Stegostoma tigrinum: one gene and its partner. The protein of the gene in region 2 interacts with the protein of the main gene of each other region in a biochemical or structural test. Links are inferred from orthologs where the notes say so. Each region holds a gene or a part of one and is shown on either strand. Other genes may lie near its edges. The genes, in order: nuclear transcription factor Y subunit alpha-like and zinc fingers and homeoboxes protein 1-like.

The links.
Region 1: the proteins of zinc fingers and homeoboxes protein 1-like (region 2) and nuclear transcription factor Y subunit alpha-like form a complex in vitro, tested with the Homo sapiens proteins (2 studies listed by BioGRID). The link is inferred for Stegostoma tigrinum from reciprocal best matches to the Homo sapiens genes ZHX1 and NFYA.

What each region holds. Positions count from the first base shown.
Region 1 is NC_081374.1:9,810,707-9,825,765, reverse strand, and holds the start of nuclear transcription factor Y subunit alpha-like, read right to left. Parts: upstream 6,320-15,059; 5' UTR 6,188-6,319; intron 6,163-6,187; exon of another isoform or gene 5,226-6,162; intron 1-5,225. UniProt on the Homo sapiens protein: Component of the sequence-specific heterotrimeric transcription factor (NF-Y) which specifically recognizes a 5'-CCAAT-3' box motif found in the promoters of its target genes.
Region 2 is NC_081358.1:39,334,065-39,349,520, forward strand, and holds the start of zinc fingers and homeoboxes protein 1-like, read right to left. Parts: upstream 5,865-15,456; 5' UTR 5,471-5,864; intron 5,434-5,470; exon of another isoform or gene 4,780-5,433; intron 1-4,779. Other genes in the region: ATPase family AAA domain-containing protein 2-like, read right to left, coding at 14,875-14,913. UniProt on the Homo sapiens protein: Acts as a transcriptional repressor. Increases DNMT3B-mediated repressive transcriptional activity when DNMT3B is tethered to DNA. May link molecule between DNMT3B and other co-repressor proteins.

The DNA of each region.
Region 1 (15,059 bases), on a different chromosome or scaffold from region 2:
ATGCAACACTGTTGCAATGCAGGAATGTGGCAGCCAAGTTGCACAGAGGATGCCGTTACAGATGTTACAGACGGATACACGCTGTTCAGCAAAAACATGGAAACATCCCTGTCCTACTTCATCTGGCACAAATGGATTTTCACATTCACTCAAGAAGGCAGACGCAGCTATATTTTAACATTTCAACTGAGGCAACAGTGAGCACTCCGACAACATTATGATTCAGAATAAAAACCAAAAGAGCTGCGGATGCTGTAAATCAGGAACAAAAACAAAATTGCTCCAATAGTTCAGCAGGTCTGGCAGCATCTGTGGAGGAGAAAACAGAGTTAGCGTTTCGGGTTCGGCGTACCCGACATTCTGAGGAAGGGTCACCAGACCCGAAATGTTAACTCTGTTTTCTCCTCCACAGATGCTACCAGACCTGCTGAGCTTTTCCAGAAACTTTGTTTTTGATTCTTATTCAGAAGGACCGCCAATGACGTATACCTAATACTTGGAATGCACAACACTTTACGCAACAGAGCAGTTAAGTTTGACCAGGCATAGATAAAAGCCAATTATTCATCTTGCGGAGGACAAGTTTCTGGAATGCATGCAAGGTAGCCTTCTTGAGCACTATCTTGAAAATCCAACTGGAAAATAGCAACATTAGGGAAGGCAACGGTCTATTGGCATTATCACTGGACTGTTAATCCAGAGACCCAGGTAATGTTCTGTGGGCTCAGGTTCGACCGCAATGTCAGTTAGTGGAATCTGAATTCAATAAATACCTGGAATTAAGAATCTAATGAGGACTGTGAATCCGTTGTCAATTGTTGGAAATCCCCCTCTAGTTCACTAATGGCCTTTAGGGAAAGCAACTGGTGTCTTTACCTGGTCTGGCCTACATGTGACGCCAGAGCCACAGAAATGCAGTTGCCCTTAAATGCCTTTTGGGCAATAAATGTTGGCCTAGGCAGCGACACCCTCATCCCATGAATAAATAAAGAAACATTAGACCAAGTACTGCTCAACAAAAACAAAACATAAGAGAGGCTAATTAGAATTTCTGGTGTAAGGGAACCATTATAAAACAGCACTATCAATATTGGAGTCTGAGATAATAAGGTGTGGAGCTAGATGAACAGAGCAGGCAAGCTGACATTTTGGGTCTGGTCCCTTCTTCATCCAGCTCCACACCTTGTTAACTATAATACAATAGCATCTTAGAGCACATCATTTTCAAGTTCATTTAATCAAGTGGTTTAAATCTAAACAACAGGATGTATGAAGCTTTGGAGGTCAAACTAGCAATAGTGGACTGTGAAATTACATTAACGGCATGATTGTAAACTGAAACTGAAAAGGATTTAAATAACTGGTACACAGTATATGACAAAAATACATTCCTTAAAAGGACTAACACGCAGCAAGGAAGGCATCCAACTATGGCTAATAAATCAAGAATTGCATTGAATCAACAGGCAAAGGAAGAGGCCTATAAATTTGCTAAGAAAGCCTGGAAAATTGCAGAATTCTAAAATGCTTCCAAGGAGGACCAAGAAAAAGATAAGAAATAGAAAACATAATTAGAGTAAAGTACAATATATAAAAACAGATTAAAAGCTTCCACAGGTATGTAAAACTGGAAAGAACAGCAAAAAGAAATGTGGTTTTCTTAAAGCCAACCTGGGAAAATCTCTAAATGGAAAAAATAGGAATGATGGAAAATAAACAAATACTGCATATGTCTTCTCCAAAAACCTTCCATAAATAAGAGTCTAGGGACTGGTGTACACAAAGAACTGCAAGATACTAATTAGTTTAAAGAAAAGAAACAGTACCAGAGAAATTAATGAGACTTAAAAGTATGTAAACTCAATTAGACAGCAGGATGTATCTCCCAGAATGTCGAAAGAAGTGCCTGGAAAGATGGTGGAAAGTTTGTGGTCATCTTTCAAAATTGTATCTACTCTGGAGTGGTCCCTGCATATTGCAAAGTGTCAAATATAACACCACTATCTAAAAGAGACAGTGAGAGAAAACGGAAATAGAGGCCCATTAGTGTAACACCAGCTGTAGGTAAAATGCCTACTCCTGACCTTAAACCTCCTGATTTTATTAACAGTTGGACAAAAATAATGTGTCCTATATGTAACCAGACATTATTTTCTTAAAAGTTGCAGTTTTGTTTATTTTTGGATAAAGTTCACCAGGAAGTGTGTTTACTGGCTGGTGGCAGAGAACCCACTTTCAAACAGGTACATGTCGCAGACAAGATAAAAATTTGCGCACATGAATATTCTAGGTTAATAGGGACTAGATGGCTTGAGCTGTCGGAATAGGCTGGGTTTTTCCACCCCCCCCTCCCCCAGAGTGAAGACTGAGGGATGGCTTATAGAGAATTAAGATCATGAGGAGCATGGATAGGGTGAATAGACAAAGTCTTTTCTGAGGGTAGGCTATTCCTAAACCAGAGGGCATAGGTTTAAGGAGAGAAGGGGCAAGATTTAAAAAAGCACGTGAGGGGTAACGTTTTCACAGAGGGTGACGTTATATGGAACGAGCTGCCAGGGGGAAGTATAAGTGCTGGAGGCAGGTACAATAATGACATTTAGAGGGATATGGGCCAAATGCTGGCCAAAGAACAAAAGGGAATAGGTCAGATTGGATGTCTGGTCAATGCAACTAACTTTGACCAAAGGGTCTACTTCTGTGCTATATGACAATGTGCAAGGGATGCAGTGAAGCTCTGAACAGCAGCCAAGGTGCAATAGGGAAAGACCACAGTCAGTTTTTCCACCACAGTAATAACAAGGGTCCATTCAGTTTGCAGATCTACTCACTAGCTCAACATGAAAAGCTTCTTGTATAAAAAAAAGAGGCTTTTCCCACATTTTTGGCAACTGTAGAGTAGTTGAGAAATGTCAAATTCCATTGTGTTTCTCCCCCCACACCCCCACTTTTCCAAAGGCCAAACAGACAATATAGAATCTTTCAATGTATTTGTGATTTTTTTGTGCAAAGTGCTTTTGAAATAAAGATAAACAACATAACACACATTTGTTTAAAGAAACCCAGCCAGTTGTCTCTAGTGATCGTGCTTAGTTGTATCTTCTTCACTCTTAAGATCCTGGGGTTTTGTGCAGCCTTGTCAATGTTTCAATTCAACCTTTTATGTACACGCTGCACGTGAACTTCAGAAACCATGTTTATAGTCAAATGCTTCTTTCACCACAAATGCTGCTAGACCTGCTGAGCTTCTCCAATACAAAGCATTTGCTTGTTTGGGTATAGTTGACACTATCAAGGATAAGCAGTCCATTCCACAGACATATTAAATGCTGCTGTCATGACATTATAACGAACGAGCAGAAAAGCTGATGTTTTGAAGGGTCTAGACTTGAAACATCAGCATTCCTGCTCCTCTGATGCTGTCTGGCCTGCTGTGTTCATCCAGCTCCACACCTTGTTATCTTGGACTACAGCACTGGCAGTTCCTACTATCTCATGGCAAGTCACCAAAGTTTCCTCATTAGCACATTTCACACACAGAACCCCAGCCATCGAAGAACAACAGACACAAAGGAAACCAGGACCAAGAAATACACCATTCTCACTTGGATACATCACCATTCCTTCACTGTTGCTAGAGCTCCTTCTCATTGTATTGTGGAAACCTTCATTAAAACATACTATACATTCAAAGATGACTCAACAGCTTCAAGGACAACTAGGGTTCAAAAGTTAAATAGTGGTCTTCTCAAAGATGTTCACATCTTGCTCAGTGGTTAGCACTGCTGCCTCACAGCACCAGGGACCCAGGTTCAATTCCACTCTCGGGCGACTGCATGGAGTTTGCACAGTCTCCCCGTGTCTGTGTGGGCGTCCTCTGGTTTCCTCCCGCAGTCCAAAGATGTGCAGACTAGGTTGATCGGTTATGATAAATTGCTCGTAGGGTACAGAATGTGTAGATTAGTTGCATTATAGGGAATGAGTCTGGGCGTGATGCTCCGATGCGCTGTCTCGACTTTTTATGCCCAAGGGCCTGTTTCCACAATGCAGGGATACTACAATGGTAGTGGTCGTACTACGACGACGATAATCTTGAAAAATAATGTATATCAGAAATTCGTTTGTTACTTTTCTTGTAAGTAGTTATCAAATGCGTGTGGATGCAGACATTAAACCAACTAAAAAAATTAATTAAAATTTTAGGCATTCCATGATATATTGAGCTGGAAAAGCATAGGCTCCAATTGCTTCCAGAGTCTTTTTGTTTTAAGCACTTTAGATTTTTTTTAAAAAATGCAATTTGAATATAGAGGGAATCCATATCAAGCTTGAGATCAATACATTTTTAGCATCAATGAAAGTGGGTGTGGCAAATAAGACAGCTTCAAATTTCTACACTCACATGAAACCCACTTTTCAAAGTCATCACTGCGCTGAATACAAGTGTTCAATTTTTGTTACTGAATCACCTTAAAGCAATAACATCCTTCAAACCAGCAGACAATCCAATCCTGTTAATCCTAATTGGAAGCCTTGACATACTACAGGTAAAAATCTTTTTAAAAGGTTATTTCAATACTTTTCCATCATCTTAAACAATTGTTTCTATTACCAACAACTACTGCACAATTTGAAGTGCATTCTACAAAGATGCCTAAACATGAAATGGTCAATCCATAACTTCAAATTTTCCAGGTTTAATAAACCTATAATAGATCAATTTATTTTAACATCTTATTCAGAGAGGTAGAAAATTTAACACCCTAATTATAACTCTCAAGTGGCTATCATTAACAGTTAAAATTCATATCAATTCCCAACTTTATCTTCAGATTCAGAACCAGGTGAAAGCTTTCAAAATAGATTTGGAAATACCAAATGTATGATATTTTTAAAAAAAGTTTAATACAACAGTCAGCTCAAAAATTTTAAAGGGCAAAACAAATCTCTTAAAGCAAACTACTGGACAAAGACTGGGAATTAAAATTTAAACGCCAGATTGTTGGTACCTAAACTAATCACGATTGGAGCCAGACACCTGCCCACCCAAAACTTACAAACCAACAACATCATAATTTAAGTGCAGCATGTCAGACAAACAACTTTCACAGATGAAAATACGTTTATACAACTGACAACTTCCTTCAGGAGTTTAAGTTAGAAATTTCTAACAAATTTTGTCTAATAGCGACTAGTAGATCGGTCTTAGAAAGATCACACCAACATACCAGCATGCATGCATACAAGTTTCCCCGTTAACAGGAGATTTGAAAGTTTCTCTATGTTCGTCATTAGTCCTCCCGACATTTCACAAAGAAATGTAGCATCTTTGATGATAACTCTGTATTTGCGAGGCGTTACAGTTTGCATTCCCACAGCGCTCCTCACATACAGTAAAGGTATCAGAGCAGGATACAGATGACCAAGTGATTTGAAAGGACAGTCTGGAGCAAGGGGTGGTGAAGAAATTGAAGGTGGAACAGCACCTCCTTCCACCTGGATCAATACCCAGGGTGTATCCAGTCAGTAGCGCAGAGACAGCCTGCGAAGTGAGAGATTGAGAACAAGACGGGCTGCACTGCCAGACCGGACAGTCTCACCCGCCATTTCAGAGCGCGAATACCGTGCGTACACTAACACCGATTTAAAAAGAAATCGTTAATCACGTCAGGAGGAATCGACATCGACCCCCATCCTGAAGCAACAACCGTCGACTGACGGCCCATGAGCGATCGGGGCGGCGGAAACAGACATTTCCTTACCCCGACCCCACGCAGCCGCCATTTTACCCCCTGTACAGGGGAGATGGGGGGAGGAGAGGGTGGGGAACGCGGGCCGAGAAGAGTGAACGGCAAAGCGGACCGAAAAGGGTGAATGGGGGTAAGCAAAGAAAGACAGCAGCGGCAGAACAAAAAAAAAGAGAAAGGACGGGAATGAAATTTTTTTAAAAAAAATCTGCGCTTGCTTCCCGCCAAAACCCTTTCCCGCTCGGTGATTTTTTTTCCCCCCACTCTTGAATGTATTCGCTTTTCGATCTATCCAATCCCGATGCCGAAATGGAAGGGGAATGAAAAAGGGGGGGGGGGTGTCATAAGTAACTACCCCCACGCCGTATCACTGCCTCTTCTCACTCCCATTTTCCTGTCCAACTCCAGCTCGCAGCCTGTTGGCAGCAATTTGCCGGACTTACCCCGCGCTTTTGCCCCTCTGATTGGCTCCGGTATTAAACACAATGCCCCGGCGGCGAATAGGAACACAGCAGCACAAGATGGCGACCAACTGCGAGCGGCCTTCTCCTTCGCGAAACCGCTTGTTGCGCATGCGCTCTCCGGCCGGTCGTCTTGTTTTGGGGGGGGGGGCACTGAGTCTCCGGGGAGGCCACGCCACTGCACCTGCGCGGCATTGGCTTCCTCCTCCAGCGGGTTAGGGGGCGGGTGGATCACACTGCGCAGCTGCAAAGGAAAAAAAAAGGTATGACTCACGTGGTGCTGCTGGTTTACAAGGACCCCGGCGCCCGCAGGGCACGTGACTCCTGTGCAGTGCTGCCGCCATCTTGGTAATGGATTCTTTTTCTTTCGCGTCTCCGTTGGGCTTCCAGTTTAGCTGCTGTCGTTTCTTTCTGTGAAGTTGTGTTGTTTGCTTCTGTGAGTAAGAGTTACCAGCAGGCATCCTTTGAGTTGAGGAATAGGCAAGACGGTAAGTCACAAGAAAGTGCCTTGTGATAAGCCCCATCTGTTGAATAATAGGTTTTGGAGATTTGTTGATGTCCCTGGCAAGGCCACCATTTATTGCCCTCTCCCAGTTGCTGAGGGAGCAGTTTCAGAGTCACCTACGTTGCTGTAGGTCTGGGTTCACATGTAGGCTAAACTAGTATTCGGGCTGAGGGTATTGCTGATTAGGCTTAATTGTGTAGCGAGTTGTAAAGAGTCAACCTGAGGGCCTGGAGTCATATGTATGCCAGGCCAAGTGAGGTTGGCGGTTTCCTTCCCTAAAAGAACGTTACTGAGCCTGGTAATTTTTTTTTCCCCAGTGAGTGGCAACGGTTTTGTGCTCATCTTTAGACTTGTGATTCTGGATTTTTTTAAAAAAAATTGAATTCAAACTTCACTGACTGTTGTTAGGGGATTCAATGCAAGGTCCCCTGAGCACTACCTGGATCTCATGATTAGTACTCTAGAGATAATACCACTGGACTATTGCCTCCCCTAAGTTGCTCAAGGTCCTGGAAATAACTGTGAACCAGGAATTTAACCTGAGGGAGGAACTTGCAAGAGTTACCATGAACAGGGAAATGGTACATAATTTAATTGTTTTAACTGTGAGTTGACAAGTCCCCAGATCCATTTTTTTTTGTTCTTCGTTCATTCATAGGATGATGGTGTCACTTAGCAGGTAACATTTATTGCCCATAGGGCAGTTAAGAGTCCACCACATTGTTGTTGGGTCACATGTAGACCTGACCAGGTAAGGATGGCAGTTTCCTTCCATAAAGGATATTAGTGAGCCAGATGAGTTGTTTCCAACGACTGGCAATGGATTTATAGTCATCTGATTCCATCATCTGCCATGGTGGGATTTGAACAAGGCCCCCAGAATGGTTAAGATAATAAAATGTGAGGCTGGATGAACACAGAAGGCCAAGCAGCATCTCAGGAGCACAAAAGCTGACATTTCGGGCCTAGACCCCACCTCTCTGATGAAGGGTCTATGCCCGAAACGTCAGCTTTTGTGCTCCTGAGATGCTGCTTGGCCTGCTGTGTTCATCCAGCCTCACATTTTATTATCTTGGAATTCTCCAGCATCTGCAGTTCCCATTATCTCTGATACTATTTTAACCCCCAGAATGTTACTTAGGTCTCTAGATTAACAGCCCAGTGATAATACCACTAGTCTATTACCATCCCCAGCTTCACCCTAGGTTCTTAAAAGGCGTGAAGTAAAATAAATAACAGCACTACCAGAAATGTTACACAAAGGAGGAAGTTGCTAGAGAAACTCAGCAGGTCAAGCAGTACTTGTGCAGGAAAAAACAGGTAATGTTTTGAGCCTAGCAACCCTTCTTTAGTCCAGTGATTCTGAGTGGTGTTGGTATGTTGATGATGTGCCTGGGTTAGAAATGCAGGGGCTTTGAACTAATACTTACATGATGTGGGTTCACATCCCATAGTTGCATTTAAGGGTGGCATAGTGATTTAGCACTGCTGTCTCACAGTGCCAAGGTTCAATTCCAGATTTGGTCTGACTGTGCAGAGTTGTATGTTCTTTCCTTGTCTGTGTGGGTTTTCTCCACACTCCAAAGATAAGCGGGTTGGGTGGAATGGCCATGCTAAATTGCCCACAGTACCTGGGGATGTACAGGCTAGTTGTATTCACATGTTAAAATGCAGGGATGGGGGGGTGGAATGGGTCTGGGCAGGATGCTGTTCGCACTGTCAGTATAGCCTTGATGGGCTCAATGGCCTCTATCTGCACTGTTAGGATTCTGCTTTTCTTCAGAATGAACTTGGACAGTCACTGGACTCAAAATGTTATCTCTGTTTTCATCTCTATTGCCTGACGACCTAAGTTTATCCAGTACTCTGCTTTTGATTCTTAAAAAGTGAAGCTGGTTTTGAGGTGCTGAACTGAAATATTAACTTCTTCCTCTCACCACAGATGCCACCAGACCTAAGTTTCTCCAGCATTCTCTGTGTTCTTTTCAGATTTCCAGCATCCTTAAATATTTTGCTTTTAACTTGTACAGCTAGTCAGAATGTTTAAGCATTGGTTTTAATTTTCCAAATAGCAGCAAATGTAACTCTATTATTCGAAAAGGGAGACAGGTAGAAAAGAGGAAATTATATACTAATTAGCTTAACATCTGCCATAAATAAACTTACAGAAGCTATAATTAAATATGTCGAAGGGAAATCATGTTTAACTAATTTTTTGGAGTTCTCTGAAGAAGCAAGATAAAAAGTAACCAGTGGATGTGTTAAATTTCCAGAACCATATGATAATGGAAAATAAAAGCTCATGATGAAGACTGTAACATATTGTCTTGAATAGAGGATTTGCTGGCTAGCAGGAAAGAATAAATGGGTCTTTTCCAGACTGGCAGGATATCGATGGTGTGCCATGGAAGACAATGCTGGGGCCTTAGATAACAAGGTGTAGGGCTGGATGAACACAGCAGGCCGAGCAGGAAAGCTGATGTTTCGGGCCTAGATGAAGGGCCTAAATGTCAGCTTTCCTGCTCCTAAGATACTGCTTGGCCTGCTGTGTTCATCCAGCCCTGCGCCTTGTAATCTCTGATTCTCCAGCATCTGCAGTTCCTATTATCTCTAATGCTGGGGCCTTAACATTTTAAAAGTTTTAAAAATGGCTTGGATGAAGGCACTGAAGGAATGGTAGCTAAATTTGCTGATTACCCAAAAATAAATCCAGAATGTGAGCTGTGAAGAGGACAGAAGGGATATGAACCAGTTGTGAACTAGCAAAAATCTGACCGATTGTGTACAATGTGGAGAGGTATGAAATAGTTTTTTTTTCCCCCTGCCAAAATAGACTATCTAAATAGTGAGAGGCTGCAGTGTGATCTGGGTGGATTGCAGAATGTCAGTATACACATGCAACAAGTAATCAGGAAAATTGATTAGAACATCTTGGCTTAATTTTTAGGGGAATTGAATGCGAGAGTACAGAGGTCATACTTCAGCTATAGAGAGCATTGGTGAGACTGCATCATTTGGATTATTGTACAGCACAGGTCACCATGTGCATGCAAGAATGTTAACATATTGGAAGCAATTCAGGGAAGGTTTATTAGCTTTATTAGCTTAATTTTATTATCTTAATACCTGGAATGAGTGGATTGCCTTCCGAGGAAAGGCGAGACAAGCAAAACGTGTGTTCTTTAAAGTTTTTAGAAGAGTCTGTGATACATTGGAAACGTAAGATCCTGATGGAACTTGACCAGGTGGGTGTTGAAAAGATATTTCCTCTTGCAGGAGAATATGGATCATAATTTTAAAAAAGATCACCCATTTAAGGAAAAGATTAAAACATTTTTCTTTATAATTCTGTTTCTCTAAAGGCAGTAGATGCAGAATCTTTAAATATTTTTTAGGTGGGAGGTGCATAGTTTCTTGATTACCAAGAGAATGAAAGATTATGGGGGATATGCAGGAATGAGGAGTTGTGGTTCAAATCAGATCAGTCCCAATCTTATTGAAAGGCAGAACTGGTTTTAAGGGCCGAGTGGCCTACTCTTGTTCCTTGTTTGTATGTCCATGTGACCTGCCAATTCCTGAGAACCATTCACTACACTTCACAACTGATGTATAATTATGGTTAACATGAGGAAAGGGTGAGTGGCAGTAGATGTTCCACAAAATCACACCCCTAAATAGCACTTAGAAACCTACAGGAAACCTTTGGCCCTTTGCTCCATCATTAAAGTCCTGGCTGGTCTTTTTCCCCAATTGCTACATCCTGCAACATCCACATATCGCTCATATCTCTTAGTATTCAAAGATATATAATTCTCTGTCACGAATTTTTTTTTAAATTTCATGGGTGTGAGCATCATTGGTAAGGTAAGACTTTGTTGTCCTTCTTTAATTGCCCTTCAGAAGCTACTGTTTTGTTTTGAACCGCTGAGGCCATCTGGTATTGAATAATTCACAGTGCTGTAAAGAAGGGACTTCCACAATTTTGACCCAGCAACAGTGGAGGAGTGACAGTGTTTCCGAGTCAGGATCGTATGTAACTGTAAGAAGACTTGTAGGTTATGACATTCCCATGCATCTGCTGTCCTTCCTTTTCTGGTGTTAAAGACTACTGGTTTGGAAGGTGCTGTCATGGGAACTTTAATGAGTTGTTGCTGTAAATCTTGATAGAATGCACTGCTACTGTTATGCATTGGTAATGGATGGTGTGGAGGTCTTTATCACTGCAGCATTTTTACATCTTCCTTATTTTTAATTTTACACCTAACTTTGCATCATTAGTAAATTTGAAAATGTTACGGTCAAATATATCACCTTCATCTTGATTATTGATTTAGATTGTAAATAATTGAAAACACTTTATTCATTCAAGAATATTGCAAAAAAAACTAACAATTACAGAATGTGTAACAAAGTTTTGCTTGTTTCCGTTCAACATGTTCCACTCTTAGTGCCCCAATACAATTGTAATACTGTTGATATTGACAATATCTGTTTCATTTCAGGCATGTAGCCTACGGGCAAAAAACTTCAATTGGAACTTACAGAAAATATAATAGAATTAATTTTTGTCCATACAGCATGTGCCATTCTGATGTCTCAACATTTCATTACTCTTGATGGTCGCAATGTGCATTTTTTTGTCAGGCATGTAGCCTGGATTTTGACACCGTTTCCAACCCTTTAGTGTACAGTGGCTGAAAGGCATTAAACATGGCGAGATCTTAGAGTACTGATCCTTGGAATAAATAATATGCATATTTTTGGAAAAGGCTTTGACAAAATGTGTTTTTCTTCTTGCTTTTATCAGGACAATTTGCAAGAAGTCATTGAGATTTTACAGGGCAGAGAACTACATATAATGTTAGTGAGAAACATTTGGACTACTGTGTGCAGTTCTGGTTACCACGCTATTGGAAAAATATGATTGCATTAGACGACGCAGGGGAGATTCACCAGGGTGTTGCCTGGGCTGAAGTGATTCAGCTATGCAGAGATAGGCTGAAACAGAAATTGCTGGAAAAGCTCAGCACGTCTGGCACCATCTGTGTAGCGCAATAGAATTAATGTTTTTGGTTGAGTGACCCTTCCTCAGAACTGACGAATTCAGAGTGAGGACGCTTAACATAGCTATCAGTGCCCAGTGTTGCAGCACATTGTCTTTCTGTTAGAAATTCAAAATTGCAACTAGGTGTAGATGAATATTGGATTCGTGTATGCAACAGCAATCACAGCAGCTTTCTCAGCATCCTGTGTGAGATGGCAACAGCCCCAGCGGCAAGGTAAATGATGCATAAATCATCCAATGTCATTTCAAGGCTCCTATCCTCCTGCTTCACTTGTTGGCTTTAGACTTGATGACCCAACTCCTGGTCAAACATCCACTTTCCGGTCTTCGTGACCTGTCGCTCATCTAAATTTCTGCTGTTCACATCCTAATATGTTCCATATCCTGTGCACCCATTCCTCATACCTGCTGTTGCAATTCCATTGGGCAAGGTCTCAAAGTTACAATTGGTGTGTATTTGTGTAAGTATGGTGGACTGTCGCTTTAAGACACTGATCATGTGATTATAATGATAATGTCATCAATGGTTTCGGGCATGAAAACAGTTCTGACTAAACCTTACTGTAAATACCACCATAATAAAGCTGCTGCTCTTTAATGCTTCAACCTCCCAGTTCTCCTTGGAATTTAACATTGGAAGAATACTGGCAATGGAGGATAAAAAATACCTCGACACTTGCTGGGCCAATCCACAGATTCATTGAAAAGAAATTTAATTGTGGTATGAGGTGCTTCAATTAAAAAAAATAGAATCAACATGTGCCATTGCTGCACTAAATCAGGTAGAGCCTTTGAGACAAAAGAAAATTACCCCAGGGAAGAGATGAATAGTGCCAAAGAAGCTGTACCCTGAAGGAACACTGATTAATAAGTATCCCATTATATGGAGGGAAATGTTTCGAGCTAGGGGTATAGAGTTGGAAAGGAATAGGCAGCCTCAGGAATACCTTATTTTAAATGGAAAAAGTGAGGTAGTGCTTAAAACAATGAGAGTATTTTGTGCTATCATCTTGTTTCCAATTTTAAAAAAAATGCTGGACATTTTGGTGCCTTGGGACCATATGATGACACTTTTGAGGGCAGGAATACCTACTCGGAGGTTCCAAAAATTATTTTTTTTCAAGCTAACAGTATTGAAGTGGGCATAATTACCCCAGTGTCCAAAGCATTGTTTAACCTTCTTGAGGAGTCAGGTAAAACCAGAGAAGCCAGGTTCCAAAACTTTTGAAAAAAATTGTACTGAGCCATGTTTCACCAAATCAATTAATAATTACAGAAATGCAGCCAGCGTGATGGCGAATCTATCTACCAATTCATAGAAACTTTTAAAGAAGCTATTAGGGTTTTATGAATTTGGAGACAACTTTAATGATGTTACTGGAGACTGCCTGATGTATGGTTTGAGATGTGAAGCAATCCAGAAGAGATTACTGACAGAAAGGAGTCTAGACTTAGAGCACTGAAAAATAGTAGTCTCAATGTAAATAGCAGCCAAGGAAGCTTGAAGATTAGGCATGCGCATGAGAGTTTGTAACATGGCAACTGAGAGATACGCATCAATGCAGATGTGAAAAATAGGTCACGCAGCAGTAAGTTGCTGGTGTATATGTAAGAGCTGTATGTAAAAACTGTGGTAAAAAGGGCATATAGAGGAAGAAAGGTAAATAATGTACATGAAAGTACAGAAACCAATGAGTAGGAAAGGGCTTGAGAAAAGCCCAGACTTGCAGTCCAAAGAGCTACTAGTAAATATCCTAATTGTTGCTAGTTATGCCAACCAGTGTTGGATCACTCCCGTACTGAATGATAAACCAGTCAGAAAGCTCGAGGAACCATTACTGCCCCCAATAGACAATTCCACCGATACCTGTATGCTGGGACTTTACCTTACCAACTGTGTACAGACTACAGACCACAATGTTCAGGCCTCGTGTAGAGATATCTGCTTATGGCTTGCTGCTAGAGAAGATATGGGCATTGTTGCTGTCACCCACACTTATACACTTACATAGTTTCAATCCAACTTGTATGGGAATGCTGATAGATTACGTTTGCCAAATCAGTTGATTACAAACAGTCCCTATGTAGACATTTTCTGCTTTGCACAAGTAAAGAATATTATGGTAACAGCAGGACAAGTTAAAATGTATGTTAGAAATGATCCACTCCAATCTAAAGTGGACATGTATTTTACAGCAAGATCATACATAGTTTACTTCCTATCACGTGGAAGTTAGAACTATCCGTTGAACAGAACACCTCCTATGGAGAATGAGGGTCATTAATTTCATCACAGCTGAGGAAGCATGTGTTAAATCAAACAACAACAGGTACAGTGGCATTTTCAGATTGAAGCCAGACCCTATATTTGGTGGCCAGGAGCTGACTCTGAAATTGAGAAGAGAGTGGGAATACCTGCACCTTGCATCAGAGTTCGGACTACCTCCCTTAGTGCCATTACATCTATAGGAAGGGCCAGAAAGGCCATACCAAAGTATCCATGTTCACTTCGCTGAATCTTTTGAAGGGTGAATGTTTTTCATAATGATTGACACACACATTAAATGATCTGAAGTTGCCTTAGAAACGTGGAAGAAAACGTGTAAGAGGAGGACATTTGGCTCTTCGGGCCTGCTCCGCTATTCAAAATCATGGCTGATCATCGAATTCAACAGACTAAACCTGCTTTCTCCCCATAACCGTTGGTCCTATTCACCCAAGTACTATTTCTGGCTGCCTCTTGAATACATTCAATGTTTTGGCATCAACTACTTCCTGTGGTAATGAATTCCACAGGCTCACCACTCTATGGGTAAAGAAATGTCTCCTCATCTCAGTCCTAAATCATCTACCCTGAATCCTCATACTGTGACCCTCGTTCTGGACACACCGACCATCGGGAACATCCTCCCTGTCCAGTCCTGTTAGAACTTTAGAAGCTCCAATGGGATCCCCACCCCACCCCACCCCCATTTATCTGAAGCAAGCGAAAACAATCCCAACCTAGTCAATCTCTCCTCATGGCAGACCTACCATCCCCTGAATCAACCTGGTGATTGTTATATTTAGAGAAAACCTTGAAAGATTTGAGGGAGCTCTTTGTGAAGTTTGCATATCTAAAATAACTTAGTGAAAATGGTCTCCAAGAGTTCATGGACTGTCTACGACAGGATTTAACATATCTGATTACCTCTTATCACCCAGCCACAATTGATTTGGCAGAAAGATTTGTTCAGATGAAATATCAGTAACAAGGGGGCATAATTTTAAAGTGAAAGGCAGGA
Region 2 (15,456 bases):
AAAAAAAGTTGGTTCAAAAGAGTTTCAAGGGAGGTTAAAAGTAATGCATCAAACTTTTAGGATTAACCTGGAATAAACTTACCGTGATGCAAACCTAATCAAATGTGTAATCTGAGATTCTGGTGTAACAGGTCTTCACTTAATTTTATCCTCAACTGAATCTGACATTCGGACTACATACAGTTAGAAGTCAAATTTTCTGTATTGTTAATCCACAATAAAAGAAAAGCCTGTGTGTAATCAAACTTCACAAAAAAGTGGAAAACTGCCTACTCGTTTTCCTGTTCACCCCATTGAGTCCGATCTACCATATATGATATGATCATGGCTCATTTGCTATTTCAATGCCATATATTGCTCTCTCTCCATCTCTGTCAATGTCTTTAGTTTTTAAAAATCTATTTATTTCTTCATTAAACACACTCAGGGAATTGGACTCTATAGCCTATGGTAGAAAATTCCGCAGGTTCATCACACTCAATGAAGAAATTTCTCTATCTCATTCTGATGTAGCCCAACCCACATCCTGAGACCTCGAGTTCTTGCTTGGGACCCTCTAGCCAGGGAAACCTCCTCCCTGCAGCCTGTCAGAATTGTGTATGTTTCAATGGGATCACCTCTAATTAATATCAATTATAAAATAGTAATTACATTTTGTAAAATATATATCAGGCCAGATTTTCTACTGGCCAGAATATCATTACACCAGTTTGGATTAGAAGTGCATATGGGAACCCTGTGTTATCCATCTTAACAGGCTTTCCCAAGTGAATATCCCATAAAATTGAGATTTGAATTTAAGTGAACTGAATGCAATTCCTCACAATTTAACAAATAAATAGAATATTAGTTCACTGAAGTAATCCACTAGTGTATAGGGTGAACGCATGATCCACAGGCATCATGGCTCTGTGGGAATTTAAATGCTGTTAATTAGTTAACTAAATCTGGAACAAAAAGCTCGTGTCAATAATAGTGACCACAAAACTGTTGTAAAAGCTTGCCTGGTTCACCAGCATCCTAGAGAAGGAGATCTGCCATCCCTTACCTTGACTGCCCTACATGTGATTCCAGACCCACGACAATGTAGTCAATTCTGAAGTGCCCTGTGAAACAGCTGAGGAATCCATTCAGATGTCAAGAGTGTGGTTAAACAACACTGCTTCAATGATAATTAGGGATGGACAATAAATGCTGGCCTGACCAGTGACACCTACATCCTGTTAATTAATGAGAAATGTTTACTAATATCACAGATATTACTACATCTAGCTGCTTTTTCAATTGTACAAAATGTTCATTTGGGATAAAAACTAATTTAGGAATTCAATGGATTAATTTAGGAGATTTTCAAAGCAGTGGTAATGTACTGCTGAAGGACACCAAAAGTACAAAAACACTTTCTTTGTAGGTATATAATTAAAACCTGTTAGTTTTTACTTACACTATTGTAATTTGTGGAAACACAGAAACTCAACGGAACTTTAAAATCTCAAACAACTAATTTTTGCTGAAGAACACTACATACCAGTGAGTCACAGACCTCAAAGTCAGAAAAACAGATTACTCACAACTTGTTAAATTCTTCATGCATAGTGGAATAAATTTTATATTCCACAATTCCCTTTGAAATATTTCCTAGACCTTGAGAAACATGGTAAAGCTAAAAAACACACTACTCATTCAATTTATGATCCAAAGTGAAAACTCAGTTAACTTACGTATGAAAGTATAGGGCAATAATTTTCTTGTTGAAAATCACAACACCAAGCTTGCAGAGATTACTCTCACAGACAAATACACAGTCAGTTCACAAAATAACAACATACAAGTAAGCATGAAATTATTCATAGATAACAAGGTGTGGAGCTGGATGAACACAGCAGGCCAAGGAGCAGAGGAGCAGGAAAGTTGACGTTTCGGGAAGGGTCTAGGCCTGAAACATCAGCTTTCCTGCTCCTCTGATGCTGCTTGGCCTGTGTCTGTCCAGCTCCACACCTTGTTATCTTAGATTCTCCAGAGTCTGCAGCTTCTACTATGTATGGAATTATTCAGGCTGGGCTCTCAATTTCAATCTTGCAAATATTATGACGTGCCAATGGACATGCACTAGCAAGAAAAGAAAATCAATTGGAAAGCTGAGTTTTGTCAAATTTACCACTTCAGAAGTTCAATATGGTGCTTTCATTTTCCCTCTAGATACGAAGAATTTAAACACATCTTGTAAGTACTAGTGTTTAGGTGCTGCGCATATAATTACTTCTTTATATAACAATTCTGAGCAAGCAGTTAAAATGGATGTTAAACTTAGTCACCAAAATTTCAATGTCTTTCAACAATATCATTTTTTAACCCGCTCTTCAGAGTGGGAAGATAATTAGTTTGAGTTCAGGTGATTATCATGACCGGATAATAATAGGAATTGCAGATGCTGTAGAATCCGAGATAACAAGGTGTGGAGCTGGATGAACACAAGAGGAGCTTTCCTGCTCCTAAGATGCTGCTTGGCCTGCTGTGTTCAGATCACAAGAGAAATCAAAAACTTTTGTTCAAGGGAAAATGGATGAGAGGTGAACATTTGACTATAAATTTAAACCTAGAATTTCTTTGGACTGCAGGACCATAGCTAGCATTGAGTGAAAAGTACACCCAACACAATAACTACAATATTCAAATTAACTCTTGCCACAGCCAATCAAATAATCAAGAACAGAAGTTCAATAATATGTACTGCACTTTCAAGTTCTAGCAAAGAGAAAAATGAATGAAAAAATAAAGAATCACAGGATAAGGCGTTAAAGTCTCTGAACCATTGGAAGATTCTTGGAGCCTCACGAAAGACACCATTTTCACTGATCTGACTGAATTACTACTTTGGTTCTCTTGTAAATTGCATTCATTTTCCAAACCTTTCAATCCAGCTTTGAAAAGAAAATCATGAAATTGAAAGGTATTTTCAGAAATAAAAATGATAAGAATAAAGTTCTTCCTTTGTTCCTGCTCTTTCCCAAGTCATGGTTGTGCTGCTTGCTCTCTCCTTTGAGGCCATTCTTGCCAGTCCTGAGTTTCACAGCTGCTTTCAGTCCTTTGTTATGTTCTGACTAATGCTTACGTTCTCTCTCTTTACTCAGTTCCAGTCGACAGTTTCTGCTTGCCTAATCCCAAACCATACTGCTTTCCTTGCATCGGCTACAGCTAAATGCACTGAATTTCTTAATAGTAAGTTAACCATCCCACATCCCCAGTTCCAGAGGAATATCAGTCACAAAATTCAATAGGATGAATTGACTCTGTAGATAAACAACAAAAAAGGGAGAAAAAGACAAACTAACAGCCAAAGAAAGCATCTGTACAGAATTGTTGGATAAGAGATAAGTACTCACTTCAGGAGTGAGGAACAAACCAGGTGGAAAAATATAGTACAGAGTACAGAAAACTGGAGGAAGAGTAACAAAGAAATTAGACATAAATTTGTTTTGTTACTTCACCATTTGGACATAATGTGTGCTTTCTTCATCCTGTCTAGATTAGGATTTAAAAAATTCTCGAATAATTTCTCTAGATCTGATTTCTGCTTGTGTTTTGCTCTTTTATTGGCTGTATATACTTTATCAGAAAAATCTGGAATTCTAATCTGTCTGCTACATTATTTTTTTAAATTAAAGAATCCTTGGAATTTGCATGTTTGAAAATAAATCACGAAATTGAATGATCATACAAAATGTAGTCAAATATTCATGAACATTCAACTGACATACATGGTGAGTTAATGTCACTGCTCTGACTTTCTAACTTGATCAATTAAACTCAATTCAGAGACAAAAATTATAAATCTTAAAAACAAAAATTAAACATGCAGTTTGGTTTTGGAAGGTTTGGTTTGTTATGTTCTGAAATCATTCTAGCCTAATGAGAAGTCATAGAAATCGTGACAAGGCTTTCAGCTTTGCTGAATTGAACAGCTCTTTGGGCAATTTCATTTCAAAATTATACACTGGAATTTGCAAAGGAACAACACAAACCAAACCAAAACACCTTCAACCAATCCTCAGCAAATTAAAGCAAAAAGGGGCTTTACTAATTTTCATTAGCCCAATAACTTGCCTACAGCCAGGTGCAAAAAAAGTGCTCAATATTCAAGAGATTGCATTTATTTTGCCACTTTAACACAGCAAAATGTCCCAAGGTGCTTCAGAGGAATGCTATCAAGGACATTAGGATCTTCCTACTAGAAAGCACTGACCCTTCAATGGCTTTGATTAGCATAAGAACACAATAGATAACAAAGTGTGGAGTCGAGCAGGCCAGGTAGCATCAAAGGAACAGGAAAGCTGACATTTCGGGTCAAGACTCTTCATCTGAAGCTCCATTTCTGAAGAAGGGTCCCGACCCAAAACGTCAGCTTTCCTGCTCCTCTGATGCTGCCTGACCTGCTAGGTTCCTCCAGCTCCACACTTTGTCATCTCTGACTCCAGCATCTGCAGTTCTTGATATCTCATTAATATTGTCTTCTTTTTTGTTAATTATCTTAGGATGCTTCAAAGTAGCATTATCTGAGAAATAAAATCGCAAAGCGCGGAGGACAGCGAGGGCAACTTAGTTAAGGAGGGCATGTTAAAGGGGGGGGGAGGGAGAGAGAGAGATTGAAGGAGCGTTATATGTTATTTCCAAACTGGGCGCATTTTGTAAACATAAATAACAATAAGGTTATAGAGGGAGACTACTCGGGCCCTTGTGTTAGTTCCAGCTCTTTGAAAAAAAATAACAAAACAGTCCTACCTCCTTCCTTTAGCTCTCCTTGATGGAAAATCAAGCAGATCACGTTGCAATGTTCAAGTTTTTTTTTCTGGAATAGGAAACACTAAACTCTATCCACCACCTCCTCAGTGTAAACAACATGGAAGGATGGAAGGCTGTAAACAGAGCGCACCCACACGGTCGGGGAGACCGGGTGCAATCTGAGCAGCCAGCACCGAGAAAGGACAAGATGTGGAGAACATCTTCCAGCCATAGGCGGGGGAAGTACCTGCCTGTCAGAAGTAAGGTCGGAGGTGGTACACTCTACCCTGTATCCCCGAACTTATTGTTCTTCTTATTACCGGCAGCTGCCCAGTGGCCGGGCCGTTTCACTGGCGAGGGGCGGAGAAAGAGGGGGCTGCTGGCGGAGGAGGAGAGTTCCGCGAGGGGGTGGCAGTTGACAATCGCGCGGGGGTGACGGTTGTTGCCCCCTCGCTGACCCCTCCCCGATTGTCAATGAGTTCGAGCTCTGCCACCTTCAAACAGTCGAAGCCTGACCGCCGGCCAGGGCGGCGAACCGACAGCGGATCTGCCGATGACATGTACCGCTGGTGCGGAAAGAACCAAACATCGACCTCCTCCCCATCCGCTACAACCGGCCTTTCCTTTGAACCCAATGTGTCGCGCCCAATTCTTCTCTCTCCGCCCGCCCCCCGGTAATGAGGGGGCATACCTGACTCCCCGAAACCGTTCGAAACGCATTGTTCTCCTACCGATCTTCCCGATTTATCGGTATCCCTCTTTCATTAATCGACACATTAATTTTTATAAATATATCGGGAGAGAGGGCAACGCAGACGCCCTGACATCATCGGAGCGCGACTTTGCCAATAGGCCGTAAATTGGATTGTGCTTGGCTTTATCGGCATGGTTCGCTTTTCCTCTGTAAAACATTCCTTTTCTCCCCCCACACGAAGGGGAAGGTAAACCATAGCTGTAACAAAGTGCCCGCTGAAGCCGAGGACAGTAAAATGAGATACTGTAATTAAACGATAATCGAATTGTAGCAATTCCTTGTGAGGACATGTCGTGAACCACCATCTCCTGGAGTGCCGTCACCGGTTTGACCACCGGCGGCTGTTCAGCCGAGCATTTCTCAAAGTTGAGTTGCGATCAGCAGTTCTTTGTCTTTTGTTCTCGACTTTAGAGCAGCAGTGGTCCTTAACGGGAGTTTAATAGAATGAATAAGGATGAACTGGTTTCAGGAGGTAGGAAGATTGGTTATCAGAGTACAGCTGTCAAATTTACAAAGGTGAAATAGGGTAGAATTTGGAAGATCTGACAAAAACGAAACGTGCTAGAGATGTCCAGTAGGATTGACGGCATCGGTGGCGAGTCCAGTGTGACATTAAAGATAGCGTCATTCTGGTCTCTAAATCCTTAACTAAAAACCCAGAGAACTGAGAATGCTGCATATCAGGAATCAAAAAAACAGAAGTTGCTGGAAAAGCTCAGCAGGTTTGGCAGCATCTGAAAGGTCACCGGACTTGAAACGTGAACTCTGATTTTTCTTCACAAATGCTTCCAGACCTACTGAGCTTTTTGAGTGACTTCTGTTTTTGTTCGAGACCTTAACTGTTTCTCTTTCTCCGCAAGTGTTGTCAGACTTGTTTGTTTTTCTCCAACACGTTTTTGTTTGTAAGACAAATTTCAGAAATTTGACAAAGGACCCATTAGGTCGAAAAGGAAATTTGTTTAAGCTTAGCATGGAATGGGCTACCTGAAGTGGTGGGGTGGGGCGCGTTCGAAAGGAAGCGAATAAAAGCTAAAACATTGCAGTGCGATGTGCAAAAACCGATGGGGGCGGGAGGACAGGAGTGCAGGGTAGACTTACTTAGGTAGTCCTTTTAAAGAACCAGCTCAAGTGCCACGTTTTCGTTTTGTCACTGTACAATATAGAAACTAAGAGCAGGTGTACACCACCTCTGCCGTTCAGTACGATCATGGCTGGTCCTTTTATCTCAAAGACCATGTCCCACTTACTGTCCCTACCCCTTGAAGCCCAAGTTTTCCTTTCATCATTTGTTTTCAAATTGTCTCATTCTCCCTTTTATTGGCAGAATTGAACAATATAGTGCTATATTGGTTTCACGGATAAAAGGTTGTTGAATGGTTTATTTTAAAGCTTTAACTGTAGAATTCAGTTTTATAAAGGAGTAAGACACATTGCTTTAGTTGCCTTCCATGCTTGACACGTATATAAAAATCATGACTTTGGTTTGCTTTGTTTGTGCACAGCACAACATTCTTGTAAGTTGCCGAGCAAGCCAACGATAAGCACTGGATTTTGTCCCCGTCTTTAAGAATATCATTAAGGCAAATGGAGGAAAATGAACACCACTTCTGAAGTACAGGTTGTCCACTTATTTGAAAAATAGTTAACTCAACTAAAGGACTCATCATCTTGAAGAAAGTATTGAACAGATTAGGCCTGTACTATGAGATTTAAAAGAATGAGAAACAGTCTTGAAGGGAGTGGATGGGACAGATGATACCCAGAGGATATTTCTTCTAGTGGGGCACTCACACTAGGGACATCATTTAAAAATGAAGAAACTGAGGAGAATTATTTTGAGGGTTGTCGAAGAAAAAAGTTGAGGAATCTGTGTCTTAATTTTATTCAAGGCTGAGTTAAATAAACAAGGGAGTCAAGAGTTAATGGAGTACAAATACAGTGGTGAAGAGACCACAACCGGATAAGCCATAATTAGGCTCAAAGGGCCAAATGTTCTGCTCCTTTACTGAAGTCCTATGTAAATGGATAGTTGAAGTTATCTTAAATGATCATCCCTTTTAAAGTGTCTCCACAAAACTTTCACGAAGTTGGACACGATATGATTAAGAGATATTTACTACTTAGTGTAGTCATGTCATTTTTTCAGAATGACGAAGAAAGGTCCAGTTGAAGGGAGGAATACTTACTGTTCAGGAGCATATTTTAAGAGAGTTGTTCAAAAAGTTCAATTTTTAATTTTTTTTAAAAAATAAAACAAACTGGGCTTTAAGTATCAATTTCGGTTGCACTCGATGCTGACTAAAACTAATTAAGTCCATGTACCTAAAAGTGTCTTGTGTAGTTGAGCACCAAAATCCAAGAACAATCTTGTTGAGAAAATCTGAATGGAGTTTTTTTTAAGATCTCACATCTTTCCTGATTCAGTAAATAACATTCATCATCCTATTTTCTCTAAGTATGCAATGAATAAGCACTGAAACACTTCCAATAGTCTGCAACTGGAAATCCTAAGCTCTGGAATGAAGTAATACGATGAGGCCTGTGTTTCACTGAGCGAAGTGAGAAAATATTTCTGTAGCGACACACAAGGCTTCCTTCAATTTGTTTCCATTTGTAAATCTGTTATAGCATTTTAGTTTCACTGTTCTGAAGTTATTCAATAGACATCTAAAAATTTTGCCCCAACAAAACAATGGACATACTAGTATGCAAAACAGCCAGGAAATAAGCATTTTCACCCCATTTTACTGAAGTCACATACAGACAGCAGATAATGTAAATACGTTAGCTTGACCCCTCACTATAGCAAAGGCTAAGCAATGTCTTGCACCAAATATAACAGATCAATTCTGACAAATTTTGCTCCACATGAACAGTTAGCAGGATATAAATAGTTTGAAAGGGTGGTAAATTGACTAGCAGTCTTGTCTAACCGTTTTGATGGCCTGTAAAGGCAAGAATTCAGAACAAAACAAAGCTGAACCAGTTCTTGTGTTAAAATAAGACATTTCAGTGGTGTGACTTTGGGGTTGTTCAGTTCTTTTGGCCAGTTTTTCTGAAGTGCACTGCCGATTTTTTTCTTCCTTGCATCATTTGCATGTGTCATCATTGCTATTAACATTAAATATTAATAAGCGGGTTGACATGAATATGGAAATTCGGGTAAAGAATGCTAGAAATTCATCTGAAGGTGAATGAAGGGCATTGGTGGCTATGTGTGATGAAGGATAAATATCACTAGGAAAGAAAATCGTTAGGACAGAGAATTGCAATGCAGGTTAAGGCAAGAGTTAGGGGACCAGCCAGAGGCATCGACAGAAGCAAGCCAATTTAGAATTTTGTGCTTCTGTTGGTCTTTGCAATTGATATTGATTAATCCCACTCAAATTCTTTAGCCATAGTTCTACAATGTTTCCTCTTTATGAAGTATTTCTTCTTTATTTAGGTTTTTCATTTATTCACTCCTGGGACATGGCATCACTTGCTGGCCAGGATTTATTGCCTATCCCTAGTTGCCCTTGGTGTTGAATTGTCTTCTTGAACTGTTGTGATTCATGTGCTGTGGATAGAACCAGAAAGGCATTAGGGAAGGAATCACAGGATTTTGATTCAGCAGTGAGGGAATGGCAGCATTTTTCCAAGTCAGGATGTTCAGTGGATTGGAAGGAAACTTGCAGGTGTTGGTATTCAGATGTATCTGCTGCCCTGTTTTCCAGATGGAAATAGTTATAGGCTTGGAAGCTCAGGATTGTTCGTGAATTTGTCAATAGCGCACACTGCTGCTTCTGATGTTCAGTGGCAGAGTGAATGTTTGAGAGTATGGTGCCATTTAAGCCCATCAATCTTATGGAATTGAATGTGGGAAAGGTGAGAGGTCATGCACTTTGGTAGAAAAATAGAGGCGTAGCCAATTTTTGAAATGGGGAGAAAATTCAGAAATTTGAAGTGCAATAGGACTTGGGAGTCTCAGTCCAGCATTCTGTTAAGGTTAAGTTGCAGGTTGAGTCGGTAGTTAGGAAAGCAAATGCAATGTTAGCATTTATTTCAAGAGGACTAAAATATAAAAGCAGGGACATACTGGAGGCTTTAGAAAGGTGTAGGCAAACCACAGTTAGAATATTGTGAGCAATTGTGGGCCCCATATCTCTGGAAAAATGTACTGGCCCTGGAATGGGTCCAGAGGAAGTTCATGAGAATGATCTGAAGAATGAAAAGCTTAACATGTGAGGAACATTTAAGGACTCTGGGTCTATACCCCATGCAATTTAGAAGGATGGGGAAGGGGATCCTAATTAAAGCTTTCGGAATATTGAATGGCCTGGACACAGTGGACATTGGGAAGACGTTTCCATTAGCAGGAGATACTAGGACCCGAGGACACAGTTTTAGAGTAAAGACAGACCCTTTTGAACAGAGATAATGGGAACTGCAGATGCTGGAGAATCCGAGATGACAAAGTGTGGAGCTGCATGAACACAGTCGGCCAATTTGTACTCACTTTTGAACAGAGATGAGCAGAAATTTCTTAAGCCAGAAGGTGGTGAATCGATGCAATTCAATGTTACAGAAGGTGTGGAGGCCAGGTCATGGAATATATTTAAGACAGATTGATTCCCTTGACAACCAAGAACCTTGCTCCTCCTGCAGAATGTGGCATTTGGGAGATGTGGCACACGTCTCCGCTGGCTACATCTGCGGGAAGTGCACCCAGCTACAGCTCCTTGAAAACCGTGTTAGGGAAATGGAGCTGGAGCTGGATGAACTACGGATCATTCGGGAGGCAGAGGGGGTAATTGAGAGGAGTTATCGGGAGTTGGTCACTCCTAAGGCTCAGGACGAGGATAGATGGGTTACAGTTAGGGGGAGGAAAGGGGACAGACAGACAGTGCAGAGATCCCCTGTGGGCATTCCCCTCAGCAATAAGTATACCGTTTTGGATACTGCTGGGGGGGATGACCTACCAGAGGAAAGCCATAGTAGTCAGTTCTCTGGCACTTTGCCTGACACTGTGGCAAAGAAGGGAAGGGGGCAGAATAGAAAAGTACTCGTGGTAGGGGACTCGATAGTAAGGGGAATCGACAGGAGATTTTGTGGGCAAGATCGGGATTCCCGGAAGGTATGTTGCCTCCCTGGTGCCAGGGTCCGGGACGTCTCCGATCGGGTGTATAAAGTTCTAAAAGGGGAGGGCGAACAGCCAGAAATCGTGTTACATATTGGCACAAACGATATAGCCAGAAATAGGTTTGAGGATATAAAAAGTGATTTCAGGGAGTTAGGATGGAAGCTGCAGAGCAGGACGAACAGAGTAGTGTTCTCTGGTTTAATACCAGTGCCACGAGATAGCGAGGTGAGGAACAGGGAGCGGGCGCAGCTGAACACGTGGCTACGCAGCTGGTGTAGGAGGGAGGGCTTCAGATATGTTGATAATTGGGATGCCTTCTGGGGAAGGTGGGACCTGTACAAGAAGGACGGGTTGCATCTGAACTGGAAGGGGACCAATGTCCTGGGTGGAAGGTTTGCTCGAGTAGTTCGAGAGGGTTTAAACTAGTATGGCAGGGGGGTGGGAACCTGAGCTGTATACCAGAGGTGAGCGTTGATGCAGGTGAGGCAGTAGCAAGAGGTAGACCAGCTAGTGGGAAGGATTTTCCTGGGAAGGAACCAAGGGATCGGTTAAAGTGTGTTTGCTTTAATGCAAGGAGTATCCGGAATAAAAGTGATGAACTTAGAGCATGAATCAGTACCTGGTGCTATGATGTTGTGGCCATAACAGACATGGGTTTCTCATGGGCAGGAATGGTTGCTGGATGTTCCAGGGTTTAGAACATTTAAAAAGAATAGGGAGGGGGGGAAAAAGAGGAGGGGGTGTAGCACTACTAATCAGAGAGGGTATCACAGCTACAGAAGCTTCCTTTGTCGAGGAAGATCTGCCTACTGAGTCAGTATGGGTGGAAATTAGGAACAGCAAGGGAGTAGTCACCTCGTTAGGGGTTTACTACAGGCCCCCCAATAGCAGCAGGGAGATTGAAGAAAGCATAGGTTGACAGATTTTGGAAAAGTGTGCACGCAGTAGGGTTGTTGTAATGGGTGACTTTAACTTTCCTAATATTGATTGGAACCTCCTTCGAGCAGAAGATTTGAATGGAGCTGTTTTTGTAAGGTGTGTTCAGGAGGGTTTCCTAACGCAGTACGTTGACAGGCCGACGAGGGGAGAGGCCATTCTAGACTTGGTGCTCGGAAACGAGCCGGGGCAGGTATCAGATCTTGTGGTGGGAGAGCATTTTGGTGATAGTGACCATAACTGCCTCACATTCTACATAGCTATGGAGAAGGAGAGGATTAGGCAGAATGGGAGGATATTTAATTGGGGAAGAGGAAACTATGATGCGATTAGACATGAGTTAGGAAGCATGGACTGGGAGCAGTTGTTCCATGGTAAGGGAACTATAGACATGTGGAGACGGTTTAAGGAACAGTTGTTGGGAGTGATGAGTAAATATGTCCCTCTGAGACAGGCAAGAAGGGGTAAGATTAAGGAACCTTGGATGACGAGAGCGGTGGAGCTTCTAGTGAAAAGGAAGAAGGTAGCTTACATAAGGTGGAGGAAGCTAGGGTCAAGTTCAGCTAGAGAGGATTACATGCAGGCAAGGAAGGAGCTCAAAAATGGTCTGAGGAGAGCCAGGAGGGGGCACGAGAAAGGCTTGGCAGAAGGAATCCGGGAAAACACAAAGGCATTTTACACTTACGTGAGGAATAAGAGAATGGTCAAAGAAAGAGTAGGGCCGATCAGGGATAGCATAGGGAACTTGTGTGTGGAGCCTGAGGAGGTAGGGGAAGCCCTAAATGAGTTTTTTGCTTCTGTCTTTACGAAAGAAACCAACTTTGTAGTGAAAGAAACCTTTGAAGAGCAGGTGTGCATGCTGGAATGGATAGAGATAGACGAAGCTGATGTGCTGAAAATTTTGTCAAACATTAAGATTGACAAGTCGCCAGGCCCGGATCAGATTTGTCCTCGGCTGCTTTGGGAAGCGAGAAATGCAATTGCTTCGCCACTTGCGAAGATCTTTGCATCCTCGTTCTCCACTGGAGTCGTACCTGAGGACTGGAGAGAGGCAAATGTAATTCCTCTCTTCAAGAAAGGAAATAGGGAAATCCCCGGCAATTATAGACCGGTAAGTCTCACGTCTGTCGTCTGCAAGGTGTTAGAAAGGATTCTGAGGGATAAGATTTATGACCATCTGGAAGAGCATGGCTTGATCAAATACAGTCAACACGGCTTTGTGAGGGGTAGGTCATGCCTTACAAACCTTATCGAGTTTTTTGAGGATGTGACTAGAAAAGTTGATGAGGGTCGAGCTGTGGATGTGGTGTATATGGACTTCAGTAAGGCATTTGATAAGGTTCCCCATGGTAGGCTCATTCATAAGGTCAGGAGGAATGGGATACAGGGGAACTTAGCTGCTTGGATACAGAATTGGCTGGCCAACAGAAGACAGCGAGTGGTAGTAGAAGGAAAATATTCTGCCTGGAAGTCAGTGGTGAGTGGAGTTCCACAGGGCTCTGTCCTTGGGCCTCTACTGTTTGTAATTTTTATTAATGACTTGGACGAGGGAATTGAAGGATGGGTCAGCAAGTTTGCAGACGACACAAAGGTCGGAGGTGTCGTTGACAGTGTAGAGGGTTGTTGTAGGCTGCAGCGGGACATTGACAGGATGCAGAGATGGGCTGAGAGGTGGCAGATGGAGTTCAACCTGGATAAATGCGAGGTGATGCATTTTGGAAGGTCGAATTTGAAAGCTGAGTACAGGATTAAGGATAGGATTCTTGGCAGCGTGGAGGAACAGAGGGATCTTGGTGTGCAGATACATAGATCCCTTAAAATGGCCACCCAAGTGGACAGGGTTGTTAAGAAAGCATATGGTGTTTTGGCTTTCATTAACAGGGGGATTGAGTTTAAGAGTCGTGAGATCTTGTTGCAGCTCTATAAAACTTTGGTTAGACCGCACTTGGAATACTGCGTCCAGTTCTGGGCGCCCTATTATAGGAAAGATGTGGATGCTTTGGAGAGGGTTCAGAGGAGGTTTACCAGGATGCTGCCTGGACTGGAGGGCTTATCTTATGAAGAGAGGTTGACTGAGCTCGGTCTCTTTTCATTGGAGAAAAGGAGGAGGAGAGGGGACCTAATTGAGGTATACAAGATAATGAGAGGCATAGATAGAGTTGATAGCCAGAGACTATTTCCCAGGGCAGAAATGGCTAGCACGAGGGGTCATAGTTTTAAGCTGGTTGGTGGAAAGTATAGAGGGGATGTCAGAGGCAGGTTCTTTACGCAGAGAGTTGTGAGAGCATGGAATGCGTTGCCAGCAGCAGTTGTGGAAGCAAGGTCATTGGGGTCATTTAAGAGACTGCTGGACATGTATATGGTCACAGAAATTTGAGGGTGCATACATGAGGATCAATGGTCGGCACAACATTGTGGGCTGAAGGGCCTGTTCTGTGCTGTACTGTTCTATGTTCTATGTTCTATCTATGTTCTAAGGTTACGGGGAAAAAGTTGGAGAATGGTGATGAGAAACTTGTCAGCCATGATTGGACAGTCTCAATGGACCAAATGGCCTAATTTCTGCTCCTGTGTCTTATTTTAATTTCAGCAAGAGATGCTCAGTGTTGTATGAGCACGTTCAAATGGAAAACTACCCTTAATTTATACAGGTGAGAACTGACCAAAAGAAATTAACTCTGGCTTCGTAAATTTCCATGAGAATCCAGGATTCACTTAATGTTGTGATATTTTTAAGAATACAAGCATTTACTATACCTAGTTTAGTATCTAACCAAAAAGGATGGAGGTGTGAAGCATGGAATAATTCTAGTGTAGAGTCTGCTTCCATAAATAATTTCAGAAGGAAAGCAAAGATAAGGCACTTAAAGTTTATGGATTAAGCATGACAGCTCTTGCTAATTGTTTGAATGGCCTTATTTGTGCTGAAAGATTCTAAGTGAATACTGTTAAATGTGCAATAAACAAATATTAAATGTTGCACTATATATATATGTTACAAAGACAGAATATTGCAGTTCCTGTAGGTCTAAGTGGCTACAAATTTAAAATTTATTCTTTACATAAAATTACAAGATGGCTTATGATGATAATCTGGCAAAACATTTGTATATAACCTTTAATTTTCTGCTGGGATATATAATTCAACTAAAAATAATTTGTCAACAAAAAGACATTGAAAGATTAGTTTTACATTTATGTTACAAACATTCAAAAATACAAAAACTGGAACAAAGTGATTGGAAACACAGGTGCAATGAGCAACATCTACTTGCAAACAGGTTCAAGTTTGACTTAGCTTCCTCACTTCTTTCTCCATTTCCTACAGGCGGTGAAAAAGAAAAAAAAATACAATGACATTCAAAGAGCCCTAGATACCCACACTGTCCCAAATAGCAGACATCTGAATGCATTAAACAAGAGGTTATAAAGAGGCAAATTTCACTTCCTGAGGTAATCTTCTCATTAAGGTTCAATATTAACAGGTGCCCAAATAAAACTGCCAAATATTTGTCATTCACATGTTAATTTTGATGTTGAGCATCAGTAACTTAATCAACTATATAGGATGTCATAGCTGAGCCTAGTTCTATGCCAATTCCAGTAGATTGCTTGAAATGTGGGTTGGCAGGGGCGGGGGGTAAGCAAGAGAACATTTATAGCATTTAGCTCAATTGGTATTGCTGAAACAATAAAGAACTTATTCACAAGAGGAGACCCTAAATACTCCAGAGAGTGAAGAAACAGATGAAAACAAAATACATTAAAAACAAAGTGGATGAAACTTAGGAGGCAGGTTTAGTCATAGATAAATTTCCTAAATACTTCATGTAAAAATAATTAGACAATAACTATCTACAAATCA